Linked DNA regions of Diceros bicornis minor. The protein of the gene in region 1 interacts with the protein of each later gene in a pairwise test. Links are inferred from orthologs where the notes say so. Each region holds a gene or a part of one and is shown in the gene's direction. Other genes may lie near its edges.

The links.
Region 2: the proteins of EEF1G (region 1) and GET4 interact in a two-hybrid assay, tested with the Homo sapiens proteins (2 studies listed by BioGRID and IntAct, with this or other methods). The link is inferred for Diceros bicornis minor from reciprocal best matches to the Homo sapiens genes EEF1G and GET4.

Annotation. Positions count from the first base shown.
Region 1 is NC_080770.1:10,508,285-10,524,261, forward strand, and holds the start of EEF1G (elongation factor 1-gamma), read left to right. Parts: upstream 1-9,939; 5' UTR 9,940-9,968; coding exon 9,969-9,980; intron 9,981-11,078; coding exon 11,079-11,237; intron 11,238-11,922; coding exon 11,923-11,986; intron 11,987-12,143; coding exon 12,144-12,286; intron 12,287-12,947; coding exon 12,948-13,091; intron 13,092-14,430; coding exon 14,431-14,560; intron 14,561-14,951; coding exon 14,952-15,156; intron 15,157-15,977. Other genes in the region: TUT1 (speckle targeted PIP5K1A-regulated poly(A) polymerase), read left to right, coding at 3,014-3,329, 3,511-3,611, 5,412-5,881, 6,494-6,603, 6,769-6,879, 7,047-7,139, 7,548-8,695. UniProt on the Homo sapiens protein: Probably plays a role in anchoring the complex to other cellular components.
Region 2 is NC_080765.1:13,627,329-13,643,408, reverse strand, and holds the start of GET4 (Golgi to ER traffic protein 4 homolog), read left to right. Parts: upstream 1-4,883; 5' UTR 4,884-5,781; coding exon 5,782-6,053; intron 6,054-6,543; coding exon 6,544-6,669; intron 6,670-6,880; coding exon 6,881-6,959; intron 6,960-7,339; coding exon 7,340-7,421; intron 7,422-7,989; coding exon 7,990-8,139; intron 8,140-12,219; coding exon 12,220-12,358; intron 12,359-13,911; coding exon 13,912-14,052; intron 14,053-14,872; coding exon 14,873-14,948; intron 14,949-15,189; coding exon 15,190-15,262; intron 15,263-16,080. UniProt on the Homo sapiens protein: As part of a cytosolic protein quality control complex, the BAG6/BAT3 complex, maintains misfolded and hydrophobic patches-containing proteins in a soluble state and participates in their proper delivery to the endoplasmic reticulum or alternatively can promote their sorting to the proteasome where they undergo degradation.

The DNA of each region.
Region 1 (15,977 bases):
TGAGAGGTACTGAGGTGGTCTGGTCAGAACACCCTGTTCTCTGGACAGTGCTAGACAAACAAACTTGTTCTTTGTGGTCCTTTTTGTCTTGCTTCCATGCAGACCTTTTGTCAGTGTCTCTTTAGTCCCTTGAAGAAAGTTCACTGTTGTGGTGTTGTGTTCTGTGGTCATAACTGTAGTTCTGAGGCTGCACTCTAGTTCTGTAGGGGTGGCTTAGGTGATCCCACATCTCCTTAGCAGCCCAGGTCGTCTCTTAGGATAGGGTGGGGTGTGTTTTTCTTAGAGATTGCATTCAGCAGCTGACCCACAATGGCTTAAACAAAAGGGGTTTAATTGTTCTCTTTTAACGAGAAGTCCAGACTTAGGCAGTCCAGCGTTTTACTGTTTTCCTGCTCTGTCATTATTGGCACATGGCTCTCACTTCAGGGTTGTGATAATGCTACTTCCACATCCTAAGGCAAGAAGAAGGGCAGGTTGAAGGGCAGAGTATAAAAGCCATTGTCTGCTGAGTCTGAACCCTCCCCCCCTTTTCTTTATTTCCCAGGAAAATACCTTTTCCAGAGGCTTCTTCAGTAGACTTCTACTTATAGCTCATTGGTCAGAACTCTACTGCATGGTTATCCCTAGCTACAGGCAAGCCTGGGAAATGAAGTTTTTTTTTAGCTGGGCACTTTGCCCTTCTGAACAAAAATTGGGGTTCTGTTAGTAAGGAAGAAAGGGAGAATGTATACTGGGTGGGCAATTGGCAGTGTCTGCCCCAGGTTACTTCTTCAGAAAGCTCAGGGCTGGCCCTGTGGCTTAGTGGTTGGGTGCGCGCACTCCGCTACTGGCGGCCCGGGTTCGGATCCCAGGCGCGCACTGATGCACCGCTGGTCCCGTGATGCTGAGGCGGCATCCCACATGCAGCAACTGGAAGGATGTGCAACTATGACATGCAACTGTCTACTGGGGCCTTGGGGAGAAAAAGGGGGAAAAAAAAAAGAAAGCTCAGTGTCCCCATTTTTGGTCATATTTATTTCAGTTATAAAGAATGATCTTTTTCTGAACTTAAACCTCGAGTTTCTGAGGCTTCTAATTATTATAACAATAATGAATAAAATTTTTATTGAGCAATTACTGTGTACAAATTAGTGCTAAGTACTCTACATACAATACCTCATTTGATCTCCACAACATTTCCTTTTTTTTTTTTTTTTTTTTTTGCTGAGGAAGATTAGACCTGAGCTGACATCTGTCGCCAATCCTCCTCTTTTTGCTGAGGAAGACTGGCCCTGGGCTAACATCTGTGCCCATCTTCCTCTACTTTATATGGGACGCCGCCACAGCACGGCTTGACAAGCGGTGTGTCGGTGCACGCCCGGGATCCGAACCCTGGGCCACCGCAGCGGAGCACGCACACTTAACTGCTATGCCACCAGGCCGGCCCTTCCACGACATTTCCTTGAGGGAGATCGTCACTGGGAAGTGGAGATTTGGGGGTTTAAGCCCCTACTTGGGAGGCAGTCACAAGTTACTTATTGTAAAATGGGAATAATAATACATACCTTGTAGGAGTCTTATGAGACTTAGAAATAGCTTATGTGAACTGTTTGGTTTATAATAAGCCCTCATTAAATGGTGACTCTAGCTGGGGATGCTGGTATTGAGAGGAGATAAATGTCCAGGACACAGCTTCTGAATCTGCTAATCCTGCCATTCTTGATGCCTTCTGTGGGATTCTTGAGAGAAATATGTGCACAGAGACAAGGCCAGGCATAGAGCCACCTAATTTCTAGCTGGGCCTTTGGTTGTATACTTGGTGTTGAACCACAGGCTGGTGAGCTGTGTGATTCCTCAGAGTCAGAAGATCGGCCTGGGCAGGTCCAAGTGGCTGCCTTTCTCCTTGGTTTCACTTTGGTTCTTTGCTCTGTTTGGCACAAGGGTAGAAGTGAGAGTAGGAAGGGTACCCCCTTTTATTTTCAATTGAGATATGACTTACATAGCATAAAATTCATCTTTTTAAAGTATACAATTCAGTGGTTGTAAGTATATTTACAAAGTTCTACAACCATCACTACTATATAATTCCAGAATGTTTTCATCACCCCAAAAAGAAATTGCATACCCGTTATCACTCATTCCCCATCTGTGATTCAGGCCTGTGTAGTGGCGAAGCCATCCCCCTAGTTAATTTTTTATATGGTGTGAGGTAGGGGTCTAACATCATTCTTTTGCATGTGGCTGTCCAGTTGTCCCAGCACCATGTGTTGAGAAAACTGTTCTTTCCCCATCGAATGTTCTTAGCACCTTTGTTGAAAATGGTTTACCATAGATGTACATGTTTATTTCTGGAGTCTCAATAACATTCCCTTCATATGAATGTCTGTCTTTATGCCACTACTACACTGTCTTGATTACTGTGGAGGGTACCTTTTTATAGGTAGGATGAGGCTTTAGCTTTACCACTGAAGAGAATATGAAAGAATATGGACTTGTGCCCCAAAGCAGTCATATCTTTTCCTGCTCCTGCTAACATTTTACCTTTTGAAAAAAACATGGCCCAAAAATTTCATTGAACTCAGCCAAATCATAGCAGCATGCTGTCATATTGCTGTTATTCCTGGATGGTAAGTTTGTCAAAGATAGGGTTTATGTGTTTGTATTTATGCCTAGCACAGTGCTCATTACATGGATTCTTAATCAATATTAAGAGTCTAATTAAAGCAGGAAAAGTTAGGGGATTGATGGGTCATGGTATAGCAGTGAAATCACATTACTGGCAAGAGGAGGGGAGGATGAAACAAGTCAAATGAGATTTTCAGAGGCAAGCTGGGCTGAGAGTAAAATGTGTGGGATAGAAGTGAGGGAGAGAATTGCTTTTCTAAATATGTTCCCTGTTGTTACAGAAACATTAAGCAAATATTCTCAATTTATAGGGTGGTCCCCACTTCAAAGATTCCCACCCACTATCAGACTGTGTGTCTGGATTCTTGGTTCCAAAACCATCATCCCTGCCCCTGTTGTGGTTTGCCAGGGAGTGTTTGCCATCGTGGAGATGGGGGATGTGGGTGCCCGGGAAGCTGTCCTGTCACAGCCCCAGCACAGCCTGGGAGGACATCGCCTGCGGGTCCGACCACGGGAGCAGAAAGAGTTCCAGAGCCCCGCCTCCAAATCCCCCAAGGGAGCGGCCCCCGACAGTCACCAGCTGGCCAAAGCACTCGCTGAGGCTCCTGACGTGGGGGCACAAATGGTAAAGCTCGTGGGGCTGAGGGAGTTGTCCCAGGCTGAGCGGCAGCTTCGGAGCCTCGTGGTGGCCCTGATGCAGGAGGTCTTCACAGAGTTCTTCCCTGGTAAGTCACCTCCCTCACTGTGTCTGTGCCCTCCCTGTCCTTCCCTCTCCTGCGTCTGCGCCCAGTCTCCCCTCAGCTAGTGGTGTGTTTGTTTGCTCTTCCTCCTTCATGCCCCAGTATGTCCTTCCACCCTCTACTCTTCCCAATGTCTCTTGACCTTTATTCTCCACTCGGCACCCAGGCTGTGTGGTCCATCCCTTTGGCTCTTCCATAAATAGCTTCGACGTCCACGGCTGTGATCTTGACCTCTTCCTGGATCTGGGTGACTTGGAAGAGCCCCAGGTGAGTGACCAGGGAGGCAGTTGGGAAGTGTCATGTGACTCTGGGCAAGCAGTTACCTCTCATGCCTCAGTTCCTCATCTGTAAAATGGAGACAGTGGGACCCACCTGACAGGGTTATTGTAATTGGAGAAATGTGAATGTGGCTGGGTACTCAATAGGATAAAAATGAATTGACATGGGATAGATAGCATTTATAACAGGAAAACACTAGATTTCAAAATGGTGTGTATCTTGTCTTATTTTGGAAAAAATATATATAAAAGGACATACAATAAGGTAATTTCTGGGTTAAGTTTTTGCTCATCTGTATTTTCTGACATCTATCTGCTTGTGGAATAGGAAAGGGTTATGTTTCTTTTCTTTTTTTTGTGAGGAGATCAGCCCTGTGCTAACATCTGCCAATCCTCCTCTTTTTTTTGCTGAGGAAGACTGGCCCTGGGCTAACATCCATGCCCATCTTCCTCCACTTTATATGGGACGCTGCCACAGCGTGGCTCGCCAAGCAGTGCGTTGGTGTGCACCCGGGATCTGAACCGGTGAACCCTGGGCCGCTGCGGCAGAGTGCACGCACTTAACCGCCTGTCCCACTGGGCCGGCCCCAAGGGTTATGTTTTTTTTTTTTTTTTAAGATTTTATTTATTTATTTTTTCCCCCCCAAAGCCCCAGTAGATAGTTGTATGTCATAGTTGCACATCCTTCTAGTTGCTGTATGTGGGACACAGCCTCAGCATGGCCGGACAAGCGGTGCGTCGGTGCGCACCTGGGATCCGAACCCGGGCCTCCAGCAGCGGAGTGCACGCACTCAACCGCTAAGCCACGGGCCGGCCCGGTTGTGTTTTTAAAAGCCTTTATTTTTTAGAACTGTTTTAGTTTCACAGTAAAATTGAGCAGAAAGTACGAAGTTCCCAGATACCTTCTGCCCTGCAAAAGGGGTTATTTTTAAAATAAAATTTCTTTTATCATTCTCTGTCTACACACAAACACATTATTTTTGTTTTCTGAATCATTTGAGAGTAGGTGGCATCCATCATTATCCTATACCTCTTACTATTCCAGTGTGTGGCACCTAAGAACCAAGATATTCTAGTGTCAACCACAGCACAATTATCAATTTGAGGAAGTATTACACTGGTACAAGTGTACAACTTTACCAGACTTTAATCTACATTCCATTCTCCAATTGGGTCAGCTACTTTGACAGTGGACTGTTGTGTTGTCTTTTTTAATCTGGAACAGTTCCTCTGCCTTTTTTTTTTTTTTTTTTTGTGAGGAAGATCAGCCCTGAGCTAACATCCATGCTAATCCTCCTCTTTTCGCTGAGGAAGACTGGCTCTGAGCTAACATCTATTGCCAATCCTCCTCCTTTTTTTTTTCCCCCAAAGCCCCAGTAGATAGGTGTATGTCATAGTTGCACATCCTTCTAGTTGCTGTATGTGGGACTTGGACTCAGCATGGCCGGAGAAGCGGTGCGTCGGTGCGCGTCCGGGATCCGAACCCGGGCCGCCAGTAGCGGAGCGCGCGCACTTAACTGCTAAGCCACAGGGCCGGCCCTCCTCTGCCTTTTTTTGTCTTTCATTACAATGACATTTTTGCAGAATACAGACCATTTATTGTATGGCATTAAAAGGTTATTTTTAATTAAAAAAATATTGTACGGAGTAAATGACTTAATATATATAAAGCCCTTAGAATAGGGCCTGGCAGGTAAGCAGTAAGTAACAGATATATCTTGGGGACGGGAATGTTCCTGGCTTGGGGTACAGCAGGAGAAGCATTCACTCAGCTCATTTCCATCCCCAGCCAGCCCCAAAGGCTCCTGACTCTCCATCCTTGGACTCAGCCCTTGCGTCCCCAGTGGATCCTCAAGCCCTGGCCTGCACCCCAGCCTCCCCTCCAGACTCGCAGCCTCCAACCTCTCCCCAAGATTCAGAAGCCCTGGACTTTGAAATCCCATCTTCCTCCCTGGCACCACGGACTCCGGACTCTGCTTTGGCCTCTGAGACCCTCGCCTCTCCCCAGTCCCTGCCTCCAGCCTCACCACTGCAGGAGGACCGGGGCGAGGCGGACCCGAGGAAGGCTCTGGAACGAACGGAGGCCCTGAACGGGGAGAAAACAGAGGGCGTAGCCATGCTGGAGCTGGTGGGATCCATTCTTCGGGGCTGTGTCCCTGGAGTGTACCGAGTCCAAACAGTGCCCTCTGCCCGACGTCCTGTGGTCAAGTTCTGCCATCGGCCTTCAGGTCTCCACGGTGACGTCTCCCTCAGTAACCGGTACCTTTGTTTAAGAGGGTGGTTGGGGAAGGCCAGCTGAGCATTCTGGGGTGGCTGAGGAGGGAGCCCTGGTGTGGGACTGTCCTGCATCTCCTGAGCCTCAAGGGTATCCTTGTTTGGTCCCATCCCCCTTTCTGCCACTCATCTCCTTTCTGGCTTCCACGTCAATGTTCGTAAAGTGTGTTTCTTAGAATACTGTTTTTAAGAGATTTAGAAAAGAGTTCCATGGTTGAATATGTTTGGGAAATGCTAAGTTAAATGCACAGGTTTCTTCCTTCCCCCTCCTCCCCTACTGCCTCTTTCCTTCTCTTTCTCCTGTCCTCCCATTCTCCCTCCCTTCCTGTCTTTGTTGCTTTGCATACTAAAGGCTCTGAGCAGCCTTATAATAACATGCTCTGTGAATGTCCGAGACATTCTTAGGATGTAGTGTTTCCCAAACACATTTGGCGTTTTGTACATCCTCTCACAAGACCAGTGTGTCAGCAAACACTTTGGAAACCCTCTTTTGGCCTTATTTCAGCTGGCCCCCAGTGCGCAAGTCTGGAGTGAGAGCTGGGGATGATAGGTCAGAGGGTTCCCAAGTCCTCACACCCTTGTCTCCCTTTGTCCCAGGCTGGCCCTGCATAACTCCCGCTTCCTGAGTCTCTGCTCTGAGCTGGACGGACGAGTACGGCCCCTCGTGTACACCCTCCGCTGCTGGGCTCAGGGTCGAGGGCTGGCAGGTGAGAATGAATCAAGACAGACTTGGGGCTGGGTTGGTGTCAGGGCAAAGGCAGGGATTCAGGGAGAGAAAGACAGGCAGGTACAGGAACCGGGGTTGAGAAAACCGCCAAGGAGGGGATCGGAGGCACCTCTAATCTAACTGGAATTATTGATTATTTACCCAGGGAGTGGCCCCCTTCTCAATAACTACGCCCTGACCTTGCTCGTGATCTATTTCCTTCAGACCAGGGACCCTCCTGTGTTGCCCACTGTGGCCCAGCTCACCCAGAAAGCAGGTACAGCAGCCCAGCCTCCACTTTCGATCTTGTTAGCTTTCTCTCTCTTCTTCACCTCGCTTAGATACACTAAGCTACCCTGGGAATCAGATGTCTCTGCTATCACCCTCGTTTCCATCCCCATTTTCCTGCTTCTGGACTGACTCTCACCTTTTTTACTTTCACAGGTGAGGGTGAACAGGTAGAGGTTGATGGCTGGGACTGTAGCTTCCCCAGGGATGCCTCGAGACTGGAGCCCAGCACCAATAAGGAGCCCCTGAGTGAGTCTGGGGAGCCTGGTAGAGGACTAATAAATGATGTTAATCACAATAGTAGGAAACATACCTCCCACAGTTACTGTGTGCCAGGCATGGCTCTCACAGCAACCTCGTGTGAGAGCTAATATTATTGCCATTTGACGGATGAAGAAACCATGCCTTGGAGTAATTAAGTGGCTTGCCCAAGGTTACACTGTTAGCAAGGGGAAGGAGCAGCATCTGGGGCAGGACGTGGCTGGGGGCACAGGGAGAGAGGCTTGACCTCTTGTGTGTAGGGATCAGAGGAGCCTGGCTTCTGGGCACTCTTCTGAGCCCCTTGGAAGGGAAAAAGAAAGTCCTGCTGAGGGAGTGGCTCTGCTGCAGGGCTTATCTCAGCTGTGGCCCTTTTCCCTGGTTTTCCTCTTGCTCCAGGTTCCCTGCTAGCCCAGTTCTTCTCCTGCGTCTCTTGCTGGGATCTTCGTGGCTCACTGCTGTCCCTGCGGGAGGGTCAGGCACTGCCTGTGGCAGGGGGCCTGCCCTCTAATCTCTGGGAGGGTCTGCGCCTTGGCCCCATGAATCTCCAGGACCCCTTTGACCTGAGCCACAATGTGGCAGCCAATGTGACCAGCCGGGTGGCCGGGCGGCTACAGAACTGCTGCCGAGCAGCAGCCAATTATTGCCGAAGCCTCCAGTACCAGCGCCGTTCCTCCCGGGGTCGGGACTGGGGGCTGCTCCCCCTCCTGCAGCCCAGTTCCCCTAGTGCCCTGCTGTCTGCAACACCCATCCCCTTACCTGCTGCTCCCTTCACCCAGCTCACTGCTGCCCTGGTCCAGGTGTTAAGAGAAGCATTGGGGTGCCATATAGAACAGGGAACCAAGAGACTGCGGTCAGAGGGAGGTGGAACTGGGGAGTCTCCCCAGGGAGGGACAAGCAAAAGATTGAAACTAGATGGAGAGGAAAAAAGCTGTGAGGAGGGGAAGAAGGAGCAGCAGGAATGTGCAGGGGACCACCGCGAAGATGGGGTGGAAGAAATGGTTGTAGAGGTTGGCGAGACGGTGCAGGACTGGGCCATGCGGAGCCCTGGGCAGCCAGGGGAGCTGCTCCTGACAAGCAAGCATCTAGCCACGGGAGAAGAGGGGCAGTCAAGCCATGTAGCGCTGGCAGAGCAGGGGCCCCAAGGACCTGAGGTGGCCCGAGAAGGGTCCCAAGGTGAGACAGGGAAGGGGGTGTTGCTCTCCTCAGTGAGCTGGCGCTGTGCCTTGTGGCACCGAGTGTGGCAGGGGCGGCGGCGTGCCCGGAGACGCTTGCAGCAGCAAACCAAGGAAGGAGGTGGAGGTGGCGCTGGCACAGGAGCAGAGTGGCTGGCGACTGAGGCTCGGGTGACCCAGGAGCTGAGAGGACTGAGCAGTGCTGAACAGAGGCCAGAGGCTGAGCCGCTTCTGACCTTTGTGGCGGCTGCCTCCCAGGCTGACCACACTCTCACCGTGACTCCACTCCGGGATGCCCAAGGCCTGTTCCCTGATCTCCATCATTTCTTACAGGTTTTCCTCCCTCAAGCACTTAGAAATCTCCTAAAGTGAAGACAGGGCCCTAAAGGGCAATAAAGCTGCTAGTTTAATAAACACTACAGTTGCCTCTAATTTCTACCCGGTAATAACCCTCTTCCCACCCAGTACTTCCCCTCCCCAGAAGTAATGCAACCTTCTCAGAGGTGCCTTCTCTGGCCAGTACAGCAGGTCTCGCCCTGCTCCTCCACCTCAGCAGCCCATTTCTGTCCTGCGTACCATTTATCACAACTGCAGGGAGTGCCTAGGACCGTGTGAGTCAGGCTCCTGGAGCCCACTCAGTTCTGGAACTGTGGTGTACTGGGTGGGTGGGTTGAGTAGCACCTGTGAGAGGAACCAAGTCTGCCTCCACACTGACCTTACTTCCCAGATTTATGAATGGTGACAGGGCCTGAAATTTGGGTTCAGGGGCTTCATTCTCTCACTTAACAGGAGAATTCATCCTGTTCTTAAATTGGAGAAAAGATTTTCAAACCTGAACATGGGTAAAGGGCAACCCATCAGAATCTGTCTTAAATTGTCAGCCTCCCCCCAGGGTGACAGGTGGAAGGGATGCGGCTGGGCTCTCCCTTGGGCCCCTCCCTCCTCTGCCGCAGGCTCCAGGACTAGCGCCGCTTCTTCTCGAAGTAGTAACAGCGAGGCGCTGCAAGGTGGCTTATGGGAGAAAACCCCACTTTTACAGAGGGTTTCAGACTTGGGCTCCGGTTAGATACACGTCCTCTGCGCTAGAAAACCACAGCGGGAACAAAAGGAATTTGGCGAGCCGCCACCTCCGCAGGAGTTGTTTCTGCTCCAGCGAGTGTCACACAATCATGGTGTTAGGGGCTTGGCAGGACGTGCCATCAAGTCACTCGTCCCTAGGCATCACACTGCGGGCCCGGCAGGCCGCAAGAGAACGCCTCCTCGGGGACCGGCGCCGCACAGGGCTGGCAGCTGTGCCACGTAGCCGCCAAAGGGCGCCTTGCCAGCTACTTCTCACAGTTTCCCCTCCCTCCGCGCCCTCTATCTCCACCTCGGGACTCCGATTGGCCGTATCTGAGGGGCGGGCCAGCCAGGAGCCCCACTGCGCAGGCGCGAGCCGTTTCCGCGCAGGCCAGCAGGCCCCGCCCCTTCTTTTTCTAAGCCTGTCGCCGCGGAATACCGAACTGTCGTGCGTGTGCCTTCTATGCCGTCCTCGCTTTCCGGCTGCTGTCTCTCCGCGGCTCTCCCTTCCCCCCTCCCTTCCCTCCCTGACGGCTTACTTTGCGGCAGCGCCGAGATCCCCACCCCCTTTCTCTGCGGAATCACCATGGCGGCTGGGGTAAGTTTGCCGGCTCTAGCGATCCAGTCACCCTATCCGACGCCATCCTCTGCCCGAGTGGGGCCAGCCGGCGTCAGAGGAGTTCTGGAGCCGAATGGGGGGCTGACCCAGGATCTAGAGACCGTACTCTTGGAGAGCAGGGCTTCCAAGGCTCCGGAGGGGAACTGAGGCTGGGGCTTTCGGAGGCCAAAGAGGTGGAAGGGTCTGGGGCAGAGGAGAAAAAACATGCCGGATCCTGACCGTCTGGGGCCAGAGCAAGGGGTGCGGGTTCATTGCCGCCTCGAGACGTGGGATCCGGGCAGGTTGACAGAACTTTTGCGACCGTTTTGTGGGACAACAGCAGGGACGGGGTGAAGAGGAGGGTCTTTGTGGGCTGGCCTCAGTTAAGGGTCATCCATCAGGGGGGTTTGGGAGCGAGAGGAACCTCCGGACGGTGGAGTCAGACCAGTCGGACCCCGCTGGTCAGGTTAATAGAAGGGGAAAAGGCAACACCAGGGAACTCACTGCGGGACGGGACGGGAGTGATGGTGCGCGTGACAGGAAAGAAAGGCTTTTTAGGGAGATCGAGTTGATTTAGGAAGAGGAGATGCCGTTGGAGATCTCCGTGGCTATTTTGGGGGGAATTTGGGAATGTCGTGGTCGGAGTGTGTGTGCCTTGGAGACGAGAGTGATGCTCAGGAAGGAGTGAGCGGCTCAGCAGTAGAGTAGCAGGCACCGGGAAACCATCAATGAATGAAACCAGGGCTCGGGGAAGGGAGGGGCGGATGCTTGGCGGCAGATGGAGTCCTTGGGACCTAGGACTTCTGGATTTCTTGGAGATAGATTTGAGGGGAAGAGAATCCTTCTGGAGATGTCCTTATGGAAGGTCAGATCTGTCAACAAGCTTTATTTAGCAGTTGATGTGTCGTTCTGTCCTCTGGTATTTCGGAGGGCTCTGATTACACATGACAGGTACTAAGGAATTCACTTCACCAGAGGAGTAAAGGAGTGGGTTGAACAGGTTGGGATCACTCAGGGAAGTCATTCTGGGAGGTGACACTTAGGACTGGAACCCTTCTACTCACACTAATATTTCTTTGCCTCCTCTTTCTGGCACAGACCCTGTACACATATCCTGAAAACTGGAGGGCCTTCAAGGCCCTCATTGCCGCTCAGTACAGCGGGGCTCAGATCCGCGTGCTCTCCGCACCACCCCACTTCCACTTTGGCCAAACCAACCGCACCCCTGAGTTTCTCCGTAAATTTCCTGCCGGCAAGGTGAGTAGGGAAGTGGAGAAGGGCCTTGGGTCCTGAGAACCCGAGGAGCCATAAGGTTCTGTCACCTTGAAGATGGCCTCCATCTTTTAAAAGGGAGCTTTCCATGTTATCTTTTTTTTTTTTTCACATTTTGGTGATTTAAAAAAACTTTTGTTTGGAGATAATTGTAGAGTCACATGTAGTTAGAAATAATACAGTGCTATTCAGTGACTTTATAAAATTCACAGGCTTACTTTGTGTTTCTATGAGAGAGAATGAGTTTTGACTGTTTTCAGTGCAAATATACTGAGCAGGATTCTTCCCCCAAGGGGCTTACAGAGATAGATCACTGTGCTAAGAGTAGAAGAGACCAAGTACAGTGTGTAGAGTGCTATAATACTTTGAATAATATAGACAGCAATAGAAGACTTGGCTTCTGGCCTTTTGCTTTATTTGATTGAGGAGTTTTATACAAATGTTTGATGATAGCTAAATCTTTTGGGTTTCTTGTGTGAGTTCAGATTGTAAGGGGTACCAAGTTATTCAAGTATTTTTGGTTCCTGAGTTTCAGATAGTATGATGAGTTTGGTTAGTAAGAGTTGTCAGCCTTATATAAAAACTTGTATCCACAACAGTGCAGTTCCTGGGATTGGCTAGTGAGAGATGACTGTGTTTTTTACTTATCTTTTGTCTGCTTTGTCCCCAGGTTCCAGCATTTGAGGGTGATGATGGATTCTGTGTGTTTGAGAGCAATGCCATTGCTTACTATGGTAATTTGCAGTGGATGTGGAAATGGGAGGGTCTGGAGGTGAGGGGTGTAGGAGAGGGTGCGGGTGAGCCACAGTGGACACGGAGAGGAATTTTCAGGGACCTGGATTGGTGTTGGCATGACTCCAAAGTTTTGACCTTTCTGTTCTGCCTCTGCAGTGAGCAATGAGGAGCTGCGGGGAAGTACTCCAGAGGCAGCAGCCCAGGTGGTCCAGTGGGTGAGCTTTGCTGATAGTGACATAGTGCCCCCAGCCAGTACCTGGGTGTTCCCCACCTTGGGCATCATGCACCACAACAAGCAGGTGAGCCTTGAAACTTGGGGAGAAGCCATGGGCAGGGACTACATCAGCTCCTGAGTGATGGGGACTAAGAAATAGGTTGAGAAAGGTACCAATAGTATCTGGGTAATGAGAAGACCTAATCTTCGGGGTGAAAGTTTGGAGCGCTGGGCTGTTGATGGTATCTGGGTTCTTTGTCAGACCCAGTGGATGTGGTGTCTGTCATGCATGGTCAGAGGAGAGAGCGATTTCTGCTGTAGGAAGGATATACCAAATGGTGGGGGAGTGGTTAGATCAGATGACCTCTAAGATTCCTTCAAGAATCGAAAGATATAGGGCTATGGTTATTACATTGGGAATGAAGCCAGACTGCACCATGAAGAAATTTAACACTGAGAGAGCTCAGTTCGTGATACATTTGGAATGATCCTAGAATCTGACTCCATTGAAGGGGTGGGGAGGGATGGGCTGGGACTCAGTAACTGAAAAGCTACCTTAGTTCCTTTATTGGGGGGGAAAGGGATTATTTTCTCTCTGATCTTGGCAAACTAAAAAATGGTAAATGAGTTTTTCACGAATCTGAGTTTAATTTAAAGGACTGTCTATTCTGAAATTGTTAGGCTTTTTTTGCTGTTGAATGTTCTTTACTTTCTGAATGATAAGTTTGATCCTTTTAAATCAATAGGCCACAGAGAATGCAAAGGAGGAAGTGAGGCGAATTCTGGGGCTGCTGGATGCTCACTTGAAGACGAGGACTTTTCTGGTGGGCGAACGAGTGACACTGGCTGACATCACAGTTGTTTGCACCCTGTTGTGGCTCTATAAACAGGTGAAGTTTATAAAGAATCAGGTTGGCAGAGGGTATGTGGGGATTGGAAATGAAGTGACAGGTCTTCCAGGTTGCCCCGTATTCTGCTAAGGACTTGCTTGTGAGGGAGTCCGAGGTAATAGCTAGTGTCTGGGAATCCCAGGACTGAGTGATACGGCTGCTTTGTCTCCTGAGAAGTTGGGGAATCTTCTGTTGGCCTTAGTTTTTGTTTGGCAGCTAAGATGTTTAGTTTGCTCCCATATTTCTTGGGAAGCCCAGTTGTGTTTAGTTGTGAAGACAGAGATAGGGGTGGTAGTTTCAGCATCAAGAGCTTTGGGAGGCAGAACTAGGTTCACTTCTTGGCTTCGTTACTTACTAGTTGTAGGTATAGGGCTGTGTGTGTGTGAATTCCTTTAGTCCTGTTTTTATCCTCTGTAAGCTATAAAATCAAGGTAGTGATAATCAACTGTTGAGGTTATTGGGTTAAAAAGGATGACTTGGTGCTGGTTTCTAAACAGCAGCTCTTGGACTGATGCAGGTCCAGAATAGTAACGTGACATCAAAGAAAAAAGCACCTACTTCGTGCCAGACCTTGTGCCAAGGGCCTCACGGGGATAATCTTAGTGAGTCTTTGCCTGTTGTCTGGGTGAAGAACAATGGAGCCTGCCCAAGGGCCTGTAGCTAGTAAGTGGTGGAGTGGAGTTTGACCCCAAGCACTGCAGAACCAGCAGAGCTGACTGCTATGTTCTGTCTCCATGACAAGATTATTTTCCCTCTGATCTTGGCAAACTAGAAAAAGGAAAATGAGTTTTTCATGAAGCTAAGTTTAATTTAAAGGACTGTCCGTTCTGAAATAGTTATGTTTCTTGCTGTTGAGTGTTCTTGACTTTCTGAAGATTGATGGTAATATACATATGTATATCATGTAGTTAATGTAGATAGTTTTTATTATTTATTTGCCAAAATGAGTAATTGCTAGCCCTCTATTGGTCCCAACCTTTTTTTTTTTTTTTAATTTTATTGACATGTGAAATTTAAAAGATTGGAAACTCTAGGTGTGAAATGGCTCTGTAAAAGGAGCAAGCCACCATATAAATGTTATTAATCCAAGTAGATTCGTAGGAAATGGAAGGTGGGACCAAGCATCCATTAAATGGGACTGGACCGCAAAAAAAAGATTAGGAAGGTAAATGGGAAGTAGCCCTCCAGGGTAAGATGGTGTTCTGGGGAGCTGCTGTCTGAGGAGTTTAGAGGAAGGTGGAGCTTTGGTATAGAAAGCAACAAGTGTCTTTTGGTCTCTGGCTTGAAACTTCAGGACCTTTCCCTCCACTGACTTTGTTTCCACCCTTCATCCTGGCAGGTCCTGGAGCCCTCTTTCCGCCAGGCCTTCCCCAATACCAATCGCTGGTTCCTCACCTGCATTAACCAGCCCCAGTTCCGGGCTGTCTTGGGGGAGGTGAAACTCTGTGAGAAGATGGCCCAGTTTGATGGTAAGTCTGAGGAGGTTGAAGAGTATGTGGCCAGGGTTGGGATGGTTTGCCCAGTCTCAACCCCTGGATTTCCTGTCCAGCTTTCTGGTTATGTGGACCCACAGAATGTAGAGTATCGTGTGCGGTAACTAACATTTTGTGAAACTTGTTTTATACGCACACGTGCTCTCACTCATTTGTGTTAATATATAATTACGATGCATACATATCTGTTACTGAGGGTTGTGTTCTTGCTCAAGGATGTCCAGTGAACTGGTGGCAGGGCAGCGTAGAGCTTAGATCCCTTAGTTGGCCCGTCCAACAATTTTCTTCCGCTGTCCTGTGTGCTGCCTGGTTTTGGGGGATATGGAAGGAGGCAGGACACTGACACTTCTGCCTTCCTCTGCACCAGCTAAAAAGTTTGCAGAGAGCCAGCCTAAAAAGGACACCCCACGGAAAGAGAAAGGTTCAAGGGAGGAGAAGCAGAAGCCCCAGGCTGAGCGGAAAGAGGAGAAAAAGGCAGCTGCTCCTGCTCCTGAGGAAGAGATGGATGAATGTGAGCAGGCACTGGCTGCTGAGCCGAAGGCCAAGGACCCCTTTGCTCACCTGCCCAAGAGGTAAGGATATCAGAGGGGGCAGGGGACCCGAGAAGGCCTGTTTTCGTCTCTGTGTGTCCTCCTCACACACAAGCTAGGGCCCAGAATTTTAGGTTGTCCATACAAAATTGAAAGGTATATTTTAGTTGCAAAAAAAGTAACTTTCTGAATTTATCATCAAGAATTGGATGAATTTTAAGGGTCCGGCCCAGTGGCGCAAGCGGTTAAGTGCGCATGCTCCCCTGCGGCGGCCCGGGGCTCACCGGTTCCGATCCCGGGCGCACACCAACGCACTGCTTGGCAGGCCATGCTGTGGCGGCGTCCGATATAAAGTGGAGGAAGACGGGCACGGAGGTTAGCCCAGGGCCAGTCTTCCTCAGCAAAAAAGAGGAGGAGTGGCAGATGTTAGCTCAGGGCCGATCTTCCTCACACACACAAAAAAACAACCCAAAAGAATTGGGTGAATTTTGAAAGTAGAAAGCAAGTTCTAAATACATCTTGTATTTGGCAAGATTGGAACTCCCTTTCTAGCGAAGAAAGTAGACAGGCACAGAAATCGGTGTGGAGGTAAATTGGTCTTTTCATGCTTGTTAAGATTTGAGATCCCTCAAAACTGACAGAGTGAGAGGTGCAGGCTGGAAAAAGGTGCAGGGGGCCTTGTGTCAGCTCTGTTGGGCTTGCTTTGCTGAAGCAGCAGTGGACACCACGTCAGAATTGTTTGATTATCTTCTTGCTGTTTTAATCAATCAGACTGTAAAACATTGCTCACTAAGAGAAAAGATGGTGACCGTGTCTACATAGTTCTTGTCTGGTTTGTTATTTCCGAAACTGGGAGCGTTAAA
Region 2 (16,080 bases), on another chromosome or scaffold:
TCCACCTCCCGTCTGTCGATTTTCAGGGGCAACCGGTTGTCCAGGCAGATGACCCGTAACCGGCTGTTCTCTGGAGGAGCGAGAAGGTGGGGTTCCGCCGAGCCCCGCTGGGGACCCGTCGGGAAAGCGGCTCCACAAAGGGAGAACGTCGGGGGAAGCGTAGCTTCCATTCGTTTCTCCTTTCTTAGAACAAGGGGTGCGCGTCAGACACGCGGGGGCGCTGTTCCTCACGCCGCGTGCCTCCCTGTGAGGAGGCTGCCCGCGCTCCTGGCTTCAGCGGGGGCACGGGGTGGACGGGCTGGGTTTGAGGCCGTGGCGGAGGTGCGTTAGTTCAGGCCGAGCCAGGGTTACCCCAGACCAGCTGCCCCGGGACGAGCGTTCCTATCACCGTGTCACCACTTTCTTATCCTTCTGCAAACACGCGTGTATGAGGAAAAACCTAAACACGTGCTTCCCCTCCGTTTCTGACACAACGATGGCACACTCAACGTGCCGTTGTCGCCCCCCCTCCCTGTCACCAGAGCATCTCGGGGCCCCTCTCAGGGCAGGACTGCTCCTCAAACAGCCCCCGGGCTCTCACCGCGGGCACCAGCTGGGAACCGAGAGCCTCCGTCTGCGGGGCTGACGACCGGGCGCGCCCGCGCCACGGCTGAGGCGGGCGGTTGCAGCGGCGCCCAGGCCTCCGGGCGGCCCGCCCGAAACTCCGCTGGAGCGGCCGGACGGTTCAAGTGTCGGCGGTCGCTGGAACGCCAGCTGCCTCACCCGCGACTACCCTCCCGGGCACTGGGGGGCTGGGGGTAGGGCAGCGCCGCGACTCCCGAGCCTCAGTTTCTCCTCCGCCGCGCCTATCCGCTCCGCCCTCACGTGCGCTCGCCATTGTGAGGTCAGCGCACCCGCCTGAGGTCAAGTAGCCGCGGTCCGCAGCCCCGCCCCGCGGTCACGTGGTGGCCCCGCAGCCCCCGCCCCGCGGTCACGTGGCCGCTCGTCCGCCCGCCGGCCCCCAGCGCTCCGTGGCTCCTCGCGGCCACCGTAGAGGGCGTCGGGCGGCCGCCGGGACGGAAGCCGAGAGGCGCTGCCGACCGCGCCTGCGACAGCGTCAGCCCTGCGCGGAGCGCCGGCCCGATGGCGGCGGCTGCGATGGCCGAGCAGGAGAGCGCCCGGAACGGCGCCCGGAACCGCGGCGGCGTCCAGCGCGTGGAGGGCAAGCTGCGCGCCAGCGTCGAGAAGGGCGACTACTACGAGGCGCACCAGATGTACCGGACCCTCTTCTTCAGGTAGCCGACCGCCGCCTTCCCGGGCCTCCGCCGCCGGCGCCCGCCCCCGCCCCCCATTGGCCCGCGCCGCTGCCTGTCGCCGAGGGTCGGAGCGCGCGGCCGTGCGGCGGCCCGGGGAGGGCTCCGGACCCCGGCCCAGACCCCGGACCGCAGATCCCGCCCCAGACCCCAGATCCCGGACCCCTGTCCAGACCCCCGACCCCGGACCCAGACCCTGGACTCAAACCCCGGAGCCCCGGTTCCGGACCCAGACCATGGGCCCTCGATCCTGGACCCCTGTCCAGACCCCAGACCCCCAACCCCGGACCCTGCCCTTGACCTCCCGGCCTGAGTCCTCTACCCCGCTCTCCTTTCCCCCGGCTCTCCCACCGTCGAGCCCCTAGCGCCGTTGCCTTTGAAACCCCCACGCGGAGTCTCACGGTTCCTCCCACAAGGAGTTCAGTCGTGAGGGTTTAAACACGTTTCTCTGCTTGTTTGGTCGCTCTTGCTCACCCGCATGCTATGTGTTGTTACTAAACCAGCTATTTTTATTACCCTGATGGTGTCGTACCTGCGCTGCCCAGTGCGCTGGCCGCTGGCCACGTGCGGCTCTGAGCTTCTGGAACGTGGTGAGTCCCAAGTGGGACGGGCTGTGAGTGTAGACACACGCGGGCTTCAAACACTGCGTGCAAAAAAGGACGTGAAATAACTCGTTGCAACTTTTAAAACATTGATTTCATGTTGAAACGATGGTTGTATATTACTGGGTTAAATAAAGTGGTTTTTATTTTAGTGTGGCCCTATAAATTTTCAACGAACTGTGTAGCTTGCATTAATTTTTTTGGCCTGCAGTGTGTCACAATATTTCTGCTGTCACACAGCCCCTGCCATAAATCGTTTTTATACGTGTGAGACATTCTTGTGAATTACACATCTGTGATCCTTTATAGTTGGAACCAGAAAACAATTGGGCGATTCATTAGAACTTGGGTATGTATTAAAGATAGTTTTAGAGGATTTAATCTGTTCTACAGAGTGCGTTTTCTTTCTCAACTGCCGCAGAACAGCAGATGTTTTGGTAAGATATTTAAGGGCAGTGGGTCGGGCATTTATACCTTTTAGGCCTAGATTTTAAAATTTTCTTCAAATAGCAAGTTGAATCAATATCTTGGGAACTCTAGTGGTGCTTTCTGCTTTGGTTGTAGTTTACCAATTTGGTTGGGTTAAATGTGGCACGTTGTGGCCCAGAGGACCAGTTAGGAGTGAGTTGATGGTTCTTCAAGGAATGAGGAAGATGTGTGTGGGCATTACACTCTGTGACACTGAGCCTCCCGCCAGGCGGCTCAGCCAGTCAGAAATCTGTGACGGGAAGCTTTTGTCTGCTCAAGGTCTGCCCCAGTGCTTGCTGTTCTTGGGGATTTGTATATATATAAATATTTGCCCCAGTGATTAATCAGCAAAACTGGATCATCCCAGAAATAAACACGGTGCTCCTTGTTTTGAGCCAGTTCTGCAGTGGCTGCTACATGAGGAACGTGAATGTCGATTAGCTTTAAAGTGGTAAGTCCCTCCACCCGGGATGCATTTCATGGTGACGTTGTGGGGTGGTGATGAACATCAGGCTCTCCACCAGCCCAGCCTTGACCTGGGCTCACAGTCCACTTCTGCTCCATGACCTGTGACCCGGGACACCTTGTTGCTCCTCTCTGAGCCTTGGCTTCCTCGTGTGTCATTTGGGCTACTCCTACAGTTCTCCAGGAGAGATGAGAAGTTAGCAATCTGCCGTCAGCCTCATGGGGGATGCAGTGGACCAGGTCAGCGGTGGCAGTTGTGGCCATCCTGGAGGCCTAACAGAAATAGCCCGGAGTTGTCCCTGTCCCTCCAGGGTACAGACCGTGTTGAGACCCATGATGCCAGCCCTGGGTTAGAGCCCTCTACAATGGTTAACTCCTGGAGAAGTCAAATTCATTGAATTTTAGTCTTTTTTTAATGTCTTTTTACAAATATATATATCTATATTTAAGTATTTATATAAAATGTACAACTTGGTGAGTTTTGACATATGTACAGGCCTGTGACAGTATTGCCAAGCAAGACGAAAATATCCATCACCCCCCCCCCCAAATTTTCTCATCTGCCTTTATAATCAATCTCTCACCCCTTGCCCCCAGGCAACCGCTGATCTCTCTGTCATGATAGATTGTTTTTTTTTATCTGGAATGTTATAGACGTGGAATAACAGAGTAGGTCCTGTTTTTCTATCTGAAGTCATCTGGCGTGGTCATTTGGAGATTCATCCATGTGTATGTTAGCAGTTCATTCATTGCTGAGGGGTCTTTCGTTGTGTGGATGGACCAGTTCATTTATCCATTCACGTGTTGGATACATTTACCAAGTTATACTATTTTAATTCCCTTACATTATATCCCACAGCAGTTTAAGGAGGTTAGGAGAAGGAGTTGGACAATCCAACAGATTGGACTTGGGGGGGGGGCTGTTCCACAGGAGTGGGCAGTAGTCGCCGGTCCAGCTGGTTGGGCTGGAGGCAGGGCGTCTGTGTTTGGCTCTGTCTCGTCAGTGGTGCTGCTGGCAGTGGGCGGTCACCTTGTCTCTTCAGGTCTCTCTCCGCCAGGACGAGGAGGGAGTCTGTTTTCCCGTCCTGTTGGTTTATTGGTACTCGGTTAAATAAACCCCGAGGCTGGCATGACTGCTTGGCATGGTGGCCCCGTGCTGCCATTGTCGCCTCAAGGGGTCTCCGCAGCTGGCCCAGGCCCGCTGTGAGTTAACTGAAATCGGGGCTTCCTACTGACAGGGCCCTCCTGAGACTCGTGTTGATTGTTGATTGTGGCCTGTAACCTTCTTTTGCCTCTTAAGTCGAATGAAGAAGTTTTTAGAAGGAAAATTTAAAACGCGTGTTCTCTGCAACCCCATGCGGAGGGTGGACTTTTCCTGAAGGGGTGGCTAGGACATGGGCAGCTGTGCCTTGTCAGCTCAGCCGGGTTCTAGGGGCGACCCTGAGGCGGGGTTGCTGAGCTCGCCTGAGCCCCGCTGCATCAGGGCTTCAGTTAGCGGAGACTTTTGACACCTCTGTCTTCTTAATTTGACATCTGCAGTTTTTATCACTGATATTACTGCTTCCATTTCTATGTTCTGCTCTCTTTTTTTAAAAAATAAGAACAAAATAAACTAGAATAATTGCACAGACGTGATCCTGTGTGGCTAAAGATGTGCTGCTGCCATATCAGTTGGTGGGCAGATAGCACCGGCACATGCCAGCCTGGAACGTCCTTCCATCGGGGACGCAGAGGCCAACTTCGACGGTGCGCAGGTGTGGACGCGCAGCTGCAGAGGCGAGGGGCTGCGTGGGTGGCGCTGTGCTGGAGGGGTCTTGTTCCGGCTGCTCCCAGCCCCTGAGGCCTTGGAGGGCACCTCACCCCTGGTCAGTCCCTTCAACAGATCCCTTCCCACTTGCGAAGTTCTGCAGGAAGAAGCACGTTCATTTTTCATAGTGGCCGTTCACTGTCTCCCCCCGCCCCCCCCCCCCGCCCCAGCTTTCCTTGATCTGCAGCAGCGACTTTGACTGGGTGGGGAATGACTGGTGGGAATCCTGGTGGCGTGTGTGCTCAGTAGACGGGTCACCACCCCCCTCCCCTGTGTGGGCTTCCGTGCCCTGAGACGGGCCACGATCACTGCCTCCTGAAAGCAGGCTCCGTTATCCCAAGAATTTTATCTGCTTTTCAGGGACTTTTTTTTCTTTCATCTGGTTTTCTAAGAGGTTTTCTATTGTTATACCTCACATAGAAGAGTCTACAACTCTGTCGTGTCATGAATAAGCCAAGACAAGCTGGCGTGGTTGTCACTTAGGAAAAATGCCGACAGTTCTGTGTGTGTGCAGGTGGCAGCATGAGGCTGTGCACCTCTGAATACTTGTTTTTCCAGAACACCCCATGGCGGTGCTGGGACCAGGTCATGTGCAGGGCGGCTCCCGTAGGATTAGACTGGGATGACCTGGGCTGCTGTGGGAGCAGGCCGCGTGTGTGAGAGAGAAAAGGACTCCGCCCCAGCGGCGCTGTTGCAGAAACCACAGACTGTGCTGGTGACCTGCGGGCTGACAGTGGTTTTCTTTCTTGGGATGCAGGTTTTTCCTCCCAGTCGCACCTCTGTACAGCCAGATGGGGGCATGTGTCCGGGCCAGCTGGATCCCTGCGTGCTGGCTGGAGTGGGGCTGTGTTCTCCTGGGGGTGTCTGGTTGCGGAGCCTCTTTGAAGAAAAGACCTTTTCTGTGGTTAATGGAACAGCCAGCCGTTCGCATTCCCCCCTGACTGTGGCCCTGGTGTGCTCCGGGGAAGCTCGGCCTTGAGCCCCCTGTGCCAGCACCGGCGCTTGCCGTGTCCTGAGAGTGCCCGTCCACGGCTTACTTCCTTTCTCTCCTGAACTGGATTTGTTTGGGCTGGAGGCACAGTTTTGGTTGACTGGTTATGTTTCTTTTCTGATAATCACTGAGATAAATACACAGCCGGTGAGTTAAATGTTCTGGCGCCAGCTGTGCCGGCTGCCACTGGAGGCTGTGCCTCGCTTTGGGAAGCCGTTTTCTGCTATTTCACACTCTCTGTCTCGGGCAGGGGCTCTGTGCCACACGCAACAGCTCAGTCCCGGTCTGCTCCCTGAACATTGTTTGTTGCAGGTGGACCGTCGTCCTTTCTGTTCTGTGTCTGCACGTTACCTGCCAGGCTTCTTGCTGCTCTGTGCTTCCGTCCCTCTGCAGTTCAGGAAACCAGCTTTTCCCAGCTCCTGTACTTTGTGAGAAACATGTTCAAAGTGGGAGGGTGATGCACGACCAAGGGTGATGGCGCCCACCCAGGCCTGTGCCTCCCATAGGAAGTCAGAGGGGAGCACAGGGAGGGGGCTTGGGGGCACGTGGTCTGGCAGCCGACACTGAGGTCAACGCAGTTACTGTGGGTACTGTCCCCCAGTCAGCCTCCGTGCTGAGCTCCCACTGTCCCTTGTTCCCTGCCTCACTCCTGACCTGTGGTTCTCCAGGGGATGAGGGTGCATCACCCGCCCCTTCATGCAGCACCTGCCACCATGGCAAGGCCTGTGCCTGAGATGGAAGTCCTCCCTTCTGCTGAAGACCCTGGAGTGGCTGCAGGGAGGCGCTGCTCAGGCTCCAGGCCTTTCTGGGCCCAGGCAGGGTCCCCCACCCGCACTGTTATCAGATAGTTATGCTGCAGGGGGCACAGGTCTGCTGGTCCCCTGAGGCCCAGATCACCGACAATGGGGATTCATGCAGGCCAGGGGGAGCTGGGCTGTGGGACACCCCAGTGTGGAGCCTGGACAGACCCCAGGGGCAGGGTGCCTTGACCACTCGGTGCGGCGGCAGACCTCAGGAGAGAAAACAGCCTTGTTTCCGTTCTTGGTGGGAGGTGTGTGTGTGTCTGGGATCGCCAGCTTCATAATGCTCGCACATTCATGCAGATGCCTTATCTTTGCATCTGCTCTCCGAAACCGTCCCTGTGTGGCTTGGCGGACAGAACTCAGGGGTGTGTTAGACTCTGGGGGCATCTGCGTGAAGCGTTGTGGGTAGCTGCCCCTGACTGGCGCTCTGCTCCCCTCTGTCTCCGTTGCAGGTACATGTCACAGAACAAGCACGCAGAGGCCCGGGAGCTCATGTGCTCAGGAGCGCTACTGTTCTTCAGCCACGGCCAGGTGAGCAGCGGGCTTCTCCCGTGGTCTTCTTTGCTTGGGGCCTGAGGGTTGGGGTGGGAATGTCCAGGGAGAGACCTGGTGGATGACCTCAGGCTGTCCTTGGTGCTGGCCGCTCTGCCTGCAGCTGGGTGAGTGTCCTTGGGTCCAGGGGCACAGATGCAGGGCCCCCGGCTCTCTGTGGGTGTACCCCAGGCTGGGAGTCAGCTATCCGGGCTGTGTTGCTAAGTGACTCCGCTGCTCAGAAGAGTTTTCTCAGCTTTGTTCTGTCACAGGTTTCTACCTGGAACCCAGAGCAGTTGCCTCGCTTTGCCGTGCATTCTGAAAACGGCCAGAGCTTTGTTTCTAACTGTGGGATTCTTGTTCGTTTCCATGTTTTGTAGCAAAACAGTGCTGCAGACTTGTCCATGCTGGTCTTAGAGTCGCTGGAGAAGGCAGACGTCGAGGTGGCCGATGAGCTCTTGGGTGAGGCTTTCTTACTGTGCACTCGAGACGGTCTCATGGCTGCTCTCACGTAGCCACACACACACACACACGGGAGCCACCTATACTGTCCACTGCTCTGATGGACAATGGCCTCCCAGCCAGCCAGTGGGCAAGGTGGGGCGTCATTTTGTCTCAGAGACCTGGCTTGCTGGCCTGTCCTTTCTGGCGAGCATGCAGTTGGGGAGCCCATCTTGTGAGCTGCCAGCTGGGAAGATGAAGAAGGGGTCCTGCTCCTGGTCTTTGCCAGCCTGGTGCTTCACTTCCCCACCGCAGCCCACCCTCCGCCCAGCTCCCCAGTGCGGGCTAAGCCGTGAGGCCAGAAAGGAGCAGTGGCTGCTGGTACTGCTGCGGGGAGGTCAATTGGGGGTGGCCCCCAACAGCACCAGGACCCATGGGGGTACGCTGGGACACCACCAACACGCAGGTTGCTTCTCAGCTTTCTACTGCAGTGAAATAATTGTTGTTTCCAATGAATTTTTGTAAGATGCACTGTACGAAGAAGTGGTGTATTCCTTTGGGTAAGAGTCTGTGTTTGTGTTGTTTTTAGAAAATCTGGCTAAACTGTTTAGTTTGATGGATCCAAATTCTCCGGAGCGAGTGGCCTTTGTGTCTAGAGCCCTGAAGTGGTCCAGTGGAGGATCCGGGAAACTGGGCCACCCCCGGCTCCACCAGCTGCTGGCCCTCACCCTGTGGAAAGGTAGGCCCTGGTGAGCCCATGCGCAGAGCGGCTCTCGGAAGTGTGGGAGTGGGCGGCCCGAGGGCCTTCCCAGAGGGCTGGGAGCGAGCTGGTCCAGGGAGCAGGTGTCCCTCTCTCTGCTTCCTTTGGCTTTTATTTGCTTTTCCATTTTAATTGGTTGGAATCATCTGCCACAGCTGATGAGGAGGGGAGATCCTGCTCTCGGAGATAACGCGGGCTGGGTTTTTTCTGTCTTGCTAAATGTGAATGTCTGTGCCTTGATAGCGGATCTCCTCTCGGTGGAGTCACCTCGCTCAAAGGAGAAGCGCCGAGGCAGCGGGGAGGACAGGGCGGCCGCGCTGGGCTGGCCCTTCACATGTGACCCTTCCTTGGCTGCCCCCTTCTCTCTCAGGGGCTTGTGAGTCCTCATGGCAGCGGCCTCGCTCCTCCCACCACGGGTCCTCCTTCCTGAGACGTCCCTCCAGACCAGCACTCTTACGGCGCCAGGCGCTGTTTTTTCTTTTTAGCGTTTGTCACATCTTCTAATGAGCATTTGTGGGGACTGGTCAGGCCGTGAGGGTGGGGAGCATGTCCCGAGCCCCGAGCCTGCTGCTTGGGCACAGGGAAGGGCACTGAGGAGCTGCTGGTTGAGTGACTAGAAAGATGGCTGATGGTGGGGTTTAGAAAGCTGCTTTCGCTGGGTCCTCCACGTGCCCTGGTTGCAGATATAAGTGTGTGCGCCCATCTCACTGGACGTCACCTGGTGGGCCCAGTGGAGAGAGGGCGATGCTGGTCAGGGACTCGTTGCGGCGCAGAGGGCGGGGCCTCGAGGCTTGAAGCTGTCAGAGTTCAGAGGGTCTGGGCTGAAGGCACCTCTCCTCTGGACGTGAGTGCAGATGAGCCTGTGAATAGCACCCACAACAGCCAGCCCTCCTGGAACGGCCATTCTGACTCGGGGCAGGGGATGGGGTAAATGTCTGTCTGCTCCACAAGCCAGCCACCCCAGGGCGTGCTCCTCCCTCTGCTCTCCGTGGGGCTGATGCACAGGTCCTCGTCCAGCAGCACACTCCTCGCCTGTCCCTTCTTCTCTCGGGGCAGGTGACGCTCCACTCGCCATCTCCCGCCTGCTGTGGCAGGCGGGGTGTGAGGCTCCTCTGTCCCTCTGGGTGTTGGCACAGCCCTGCCCTCACCCCAGAGGGACATTAATGAGAATAATGGGTCAGACCTGAGAGAATTCGAAGTCCAGAAAGTTAAGGAAGCTCTTCTTAGAGGATGTGGCTGAGTCACTCCCCCAACTCTAACCCAGAAAAGAAACGTTACTGAGAAAGAGCAGCTGGCGCCTTCGGGCACAACAGCCAGCGGGCTCCCTCCTCCCTCTGGCCACACATTCCCCATGGGCGCCTCGTTCTTCCAAACTCAGCCTCCTCCCAGCGCTTCTAGCCGGTTCCTCCTCATCCCTGAGAACTCACCTGATGTCACCCATGGCCCGTCCGGGCCATCCTCATTAGCGTAGGTTTCCTGCTACTCGCTCACAGCGCCCATTTATTTCCCGGCTGTTGTCTGTCTCCCCCGGCACGCCCTCTTGCCCTCAGAATTAGTCCGTCTTATTCAGTGCGGGACGCCTGGTAAGTGCCGTTCTGCAGCCCACGTGGCCATCTGCTGGCTGGCCCGACAGGGCAGTGGGGAAAGTCTTCCAGAGGAGTCGGGCCTGCATGTGCAGGTGGGAACCAGCAACCATTGATTCCACACCCCTCCTGCCCGGCCCATGTTTGTGGGGCCCATGGGGACCCTGCGTCTGTGAAGCAGAATGTGCGAACCATGATGGTTCGGCCTCGGTGGTTCAGGATGTGTATTTATTGTTACAGTGTTAAATATTCAGGATAGAGACAGTTGAATGTTCTTCTTCAAGCACAGACTGTCAGGAGAGATGTGCAGTGTTCTGTGTGGGTGTCCAGTTCGTGTGGAGGGGCCGTGCTTGGGGGTGTCTGCGGGAGCCCAGCCTGAGAAAGGCAGTGATGGGGCTCCCCTCCAGGCAGGTGTATGAGGCCAGAACTGCTCTCTGCTGGGCGTCCTGGGGCCACTGCCTGCGCCTTGTTGGTTGGGGTTCACGACTTGCCCCCATTCACATTCCTCGCCACATGCGGTGTTTGAGGTTCCATTCCAGGGCTCCGAGGGGGCCCTATGCCGGCGTGAACTTCTGGGCTTAGTTACCTGCCTCATTTTTCTTCTCATGTGGATGCTCTAAAACCAAAAGGTTATTTTTGTGGGTTGGAGGGAGAGAAGGGAGACAAACGAAACACGACTGCAGAAAGGAACGCTGACTCCGTATCATTCTGAGTTTCCTGAAGGCAGTAGCCGGGTGCCAAGAGCTAATGCCAGGCTAGGAGCGCCTTTTAGGTGGTGGGGGCGGTGCCACGCTCATGCAGAGCCCTGGAGGGCAGGCGGGGCTGCCTTCCCTGGGTGGAACTTATGTTCTCAGTAGCAGATGGGAGAGAGCAGGCACACGGGGCCGGGCTGGGGCGGGTGGCACGGCACCTTACCCTGGAAGGATGAGTGGGAGCCAGGGTGGCCTGTGAGCAGGGCAGGGGGTGATCGGTCTGTTGTGGGAGACGGCCGGGCTGTGGGCAGGTGACCTGGAGGAGCTGGGGTGTCTGAGCAGGAACTGGTGGTGGTTCGGCCTGGAACCAGGTCTCTGCCTTGGCGCTGCCAACTCTCTGGGTGTCCTGTGCACTGCAGGGTGCTGAGCAGTGTCCCTGGGCTCCAGCTAGATGCCAAGGGCACCTACGGCTGTGGCAGCAAAAATCGTCTTTAGACATTGCCAAGTGTCCTGTGTCGGGGGTGAAATCACTATGGGAGGAGCTGGTGTAGGGGGCAGCACGTGGGAGAAGAGCAGAGGCATTGTGAGTGGTGAGCGGGGGGCAGAGTGGCATGGGAGGCCCAGTTCACAGCCTGACGCCCACTGGCAATGGGCAGGTCGGGACCATCAGCCAGTTGACAACAGAGATGCTCAAACAGCTCAGCGTCAGAGGACACGTGTTCCCTAGTGGGCTCACATCCTCCTCCCCTCTCGCTCTGTGAGCACTGCAACTTGGCGCCTTGATGAAAGGTGTGGCCACGGGACACGTGGACTGAGAAAGGGCCACTGAGACTTGACTGTGCACACGAGTGAGCTGTTAGGATGCAGGTCCAGTTCAGGGCTGGAGAGTCCACCCTCCTGACCAGCTCGCAGGTGACCCCGCCCTGAGTGGGGACAGTCCAGCCTCTACTGGGCACAAATCAGAGGTGCAAGTCCAGGGTGGTGGTGACGGGAGAGACAGGCCGCTCGCCACCATCCCGCCGCATACAGGACCCATTGGTTCTCACAGGCACTTTGGTCCTGTTCCCAGTGGGATGAGCAGCCCTGCATCCAGAGGAGCTTCTCTCTGGTGCCTGCTCCATGCCGGCCTCGATGAGACCTGGCCTCATGGGACTCAGCTCTTTGTGGAGGGGGGCAGACGGTAACCATGGCGATTAACTCAAGTGTAGAGTCTGTTCGAGGGTGGAAAGTGCTGCAGAAGAAAGAGCGGGAGCGGATGGGCTGGGAGCGGGGCTGCGGGCTCTTGGCGGACTTACGGGCCTGTGGGAGAAAGGCGGGCCTCGACCCGGTCCTGGCTGCTCCTCTGGGATTCAAGGTGCTTGTGTGTCGGGGTCAGTGGACTTGGTGTCAGGATTTTGCATTTCGTTTCATCATGTCTGTATGAAATTGCTATCCGTGTAGGTCAAAAGAGTCTGTCCCTGTTGGCCATTTCTCACGGTTCGGCTGATATAAATGTTGATGTGGGAACGCGGGGCAGCTGGCATGACTCAGCTGAGCTGAATGACCTGCCCTGTCTGGCCATTTGTATTTGACTTTGGATTGGAGGTGGCTGGTGAGATGTTGGTGGAGCTGCCGTGTGCAGGACGGTGCGCTGTCTACACTGCTGCACTCGGTGTGAGCAGGGGGAGTGCTGTGCAGAACGAGAGCGGGTGCGTGGGGAGTGTGCAGTGGTGTCTTTCAGGCCCCCTGATACGTCATGTTTGTGATACGTCTGTGTTGACGGGTTTCTCTTTTTGCCTTCATAGAACAAAATTATTGTGAATCTCGATATCACTTCCTGCACTCCACTGACGGTGAAGGCTGTGCCAACATGCTGGTGGAATATTCCACCTCGAGGGGATTCCGCAGCGAGGTGGACATGTTTGTGGCCCAGGCTGTCCTACAGTAGGTACCTGTGTGCACCTGTTGCCTCTTTGCTTCAGTGGCTGTGGGGTTCCAGAGGCAGCCTCTGAGCTGGTCACCTCATCACCTGACCGAGACACGTGGGAGGGTAATCACTGAGTCACTTAGGGTCGCACTCGAGTGTTGCCCTTGCAACCCCTGCTGCAGACCTCTTGGGGACAACAGACATTGTCCCTCTCAACTCTCTTAAGCCAGCGGAATTCTCAGGCACTTGTAAGATTTCAATTGAGCAGTAAAAGAAGTGAGTTTTAATGTTTTAAATTAACATTCTTCTGTTACCATCGATTTTCTGTTTTTCCCTATTAACTCTTTTATGTTTTGGGGGTTCTTCAGTGTCAGACAACCTTTCTTTTGTAGGACACACGTCTTTAGTAAGTTTCACCTGGTATCTGGGGATGTGGGGTGAGCAGGCTATCAGAGGCTATGCTGTTCTCTCCAGAGGTTTGTGCATCTGAACGCTTCACTACGTGGATAGCGCCTCTCACAGCCAGCGTTCATTCCCACTGGATCCTGTCTTGTCCCTCTGCTCCCGTTTGGCCTCCTCATCCCGTTTTCTCTCCAGCAGTCATCTTGAGATGTTGAAACGTCCAACGGTTGAGTGGGCTGTGCAGTGAGCGCCCACATCAGGCAGGGCCGCCCGCCCAAGCGCCTCCCTTTCTGCTTGTTCCCGACTTGGGCCCATCCTCCCTTCCTGATGGAGATGTGTCACGGGGAGAGGTTTATTTCCTCCCACAGAGACACTTTGATCTGGTAGCCGGGCGTTGGGTCGGAGTGTTCTGTGAATTTGAAGGGGGCTGGGTCACAACGACTTGCTGTACTTTATAGCACCTCGGAGCTTCTGAGCGTACTATTTGTTGCTGACGTTGACTTTAAAAATGAAACATTTTTTAAAATACAGAACTGAATGACCCTGGCTTTGTGGCATATTGTTTAGATACGTTCTCTGGACTGAACTTGGCACTGCGTGTGAGATCACTAAACCCCTTCTCGTGGATCCCTCTTTATGCCTTAAAAAGAAAGTATTATCGAGGGCCGGCACCTCAGTGGAGTCCAGCTGTGGAGATGTCCCCCGTGGGCAGAGACCAGAGCCTGTCCCCATGCCCAGCATGGTGTCCGGGGCACCTGGGGTGACTGCTCACGCAGGCAGATGCCTAATGGGTGCAGAGAAAATGGAGGTTTTAGTTCACCCCTCAGAGCCCTGTTGACCTTGGATGCGTCACCCTCCCAAGCTTAATTCTCTTCACCTGCAAATTGTGAGAATGCAGAGTTGCTGTGCTCACCGGGGGCAGCCTGTGTGAGCACAGAACCTGGCTCAGCGGGCCTTCAGTAATTGGAGCTGTTGTTCCGGCCATGGGTGCCACATGGCACACAGCCTGGGAGAGGATGTCACAGGCCCGCACACGTGGTGGCTGTAACCACTGAGGCTCTCTGTGCCTGCAGTGGCATTCTGTGTTCAATGTTCACATAAATGTTTATAGAAACCCTGTTTCTTCCTTCTTCAGGATTCCCACTTACTAGGATATCCTTATTTCCAGGTTTCTCTGTTTAAAAAATAAAAGCAGTGCGTCGGTGGTGTTCACAACCTACACACAGAAGCACCCGTCAATTGAGAACGGCCCTCCATTTGTGCAGCCCCTACTTAATTTCATCTGGTTTCTGTTGTTGGCCGTAGATGGGTGAGTTTTATGTATGCAGTGTGTGTGTGTGAGTATGTATGTGTGTGTAGGTTTGTGTGTCTAGGGGTATGTGTGTATCTGTGTGTGAATAGGTGTTAGTGTATGTGTATGTATGTGTGTATAGGTGTGTGTGTGTATAGATGTGCAAGTGTATGAAGGTGTGTGTGTATAGGTGTGTGAGTGTATGAAGGTATGTATGTGTATAGGTGTGTGTGTATAGGTGTGCCAGTATATAAGGGTATGGATGTGTATAGATGTGAGTGTATGTGGGTGTATATAGGTGTGTGTGTATATGTATATAGGTGTGAGTAGGTATGTATATATAGGTGAATGTGTGTGTAGGTATGTGCGTATAGGTGTGTGGGGGGGTATGTACATGTGTAGGGGTGTGTGTGTGTGGGTATAGTGTGTATATGTGTATAGTTGTGCATGTAGGTATGTATGTGTATAGGTGTGAATGTAGGTATGTATGTATAGGTGAGTGTGTGTAGGTATGTATGAGTGTGTAGGTGTGTGTATGAGTATATAGGTGTGAGTGTAGGTATGTGTAGGTGAGTGTGTGTAGGTATGTATGTGTATAGGTGTGCAAGTATGTGTGTATAGGTGTGTGTAGGTATGTATGTATAGGTGAGTGTATAGATATGTATGTGTATAGGTGTGTGAGTGTGTATGTATGTGTGTATAGGTATGAGTGTAGGTATGTTTGTATAGGTGAGTGTGTATGTGTGTATAGGTGTGTGTGTACAGGTGTGTGGTTTTCCTTTTACTCTCCTTGATTTTGGGTTAGTAACAGAGTCGTGCTCATCTTCCCTTGTTTCAGAGGCAAACTGACAGTGTTCACAGTGTTGTGTGAGCAGTACCAGCCGTCCCTCCGGCGGGACCCAATGTACAACGAGGTGAGGGGCTTGCCGGGTAGGTGGAAGCTTGTGGACTCCGGGCAGCAGCTGGAGAGGGAGGTGGAGAGAAACCCTCGGGTCCACGTGCCGCCCTCACAGATAAGATGGGGCCTTGAGTTGAGAGTGGGTGGAAGGACTGCGAGCGGGCACTCGCTGCAGGGTTGCGGGCACTCGCTGCAGGGTTGCGCGCACGTCCAGCACATTACGTCTCCCCAGTGACCCGTGCCTGTGCCTCTTGCAGTACCTCGACAGGATAGGACAGCTCTTCTTTGGCGTGCCACCCAAGCAGACGTCTTCCTACGGAGGCTTGCTAGGTAAGGCCGGGAGCGAAGGGTCCTTCACCGCAGCTTCTGTTGGCAGGCCGCGCGAGGGGAGGGAGCAGAGCGGGCAGCGGCCTGGACTCAGGCCTGGCTTGGTCGCCTGCCCGGGCCTCCACCCTGGGGGCTCTGCCATAATGCCATCGCATGGTTGTGGCGGTCTCCTGCCAGGGCTCTGCTCTCTGCTCTGCCTCTAGGTCCTTTTCCCACCATGTTCCCAAAACAGAGCTAATAGGGCCTCTTGCTCCCCAAAAAATAATTGTCCCCAGGGCTCCCTCTTTGTTGGCCACAGAATCGAGGCCTTTTGTTGTTTTTTTTAATTGTGGTAAAATACACATAACGTGAAATTGACCACCTTAACCATTTTCAGTGTACAGTTCAGTGGCATTAAGTACATTCACACTGTAGTGCACCCATCCCCACCGTCCTTCTCCAGTACGTTTTGCATCTTGCAAAACTGAAACTCTGTCCCCATTAAACACTCGCCCCCCAGCCCCTGGCACCCACCGTCCTGCTTGCTGTCTCTCTGAATTTGATGACTCCAGGGACCTCATGAAAGTGGAATCATATAGTATTTGTCCTTCTGTGACTGGCTTATTTAGCCTAGCCCAATGTCCTCAAGGTTCTTCCATGTTGTAGCATGTGTCAGAATCTCCTTCCTCTTCAAGGCTGAATAATACAGTATTCCCTTGTATGTATAGACCACATTTTGCTTATCCATTCATCCGTCGGTGGACACATGGGTTGCTTCTGTTTTAGCTATTGTGAATAATGCTGCTGTGAACATGGGTGTGCAAATATCTCTTCAAGACCCT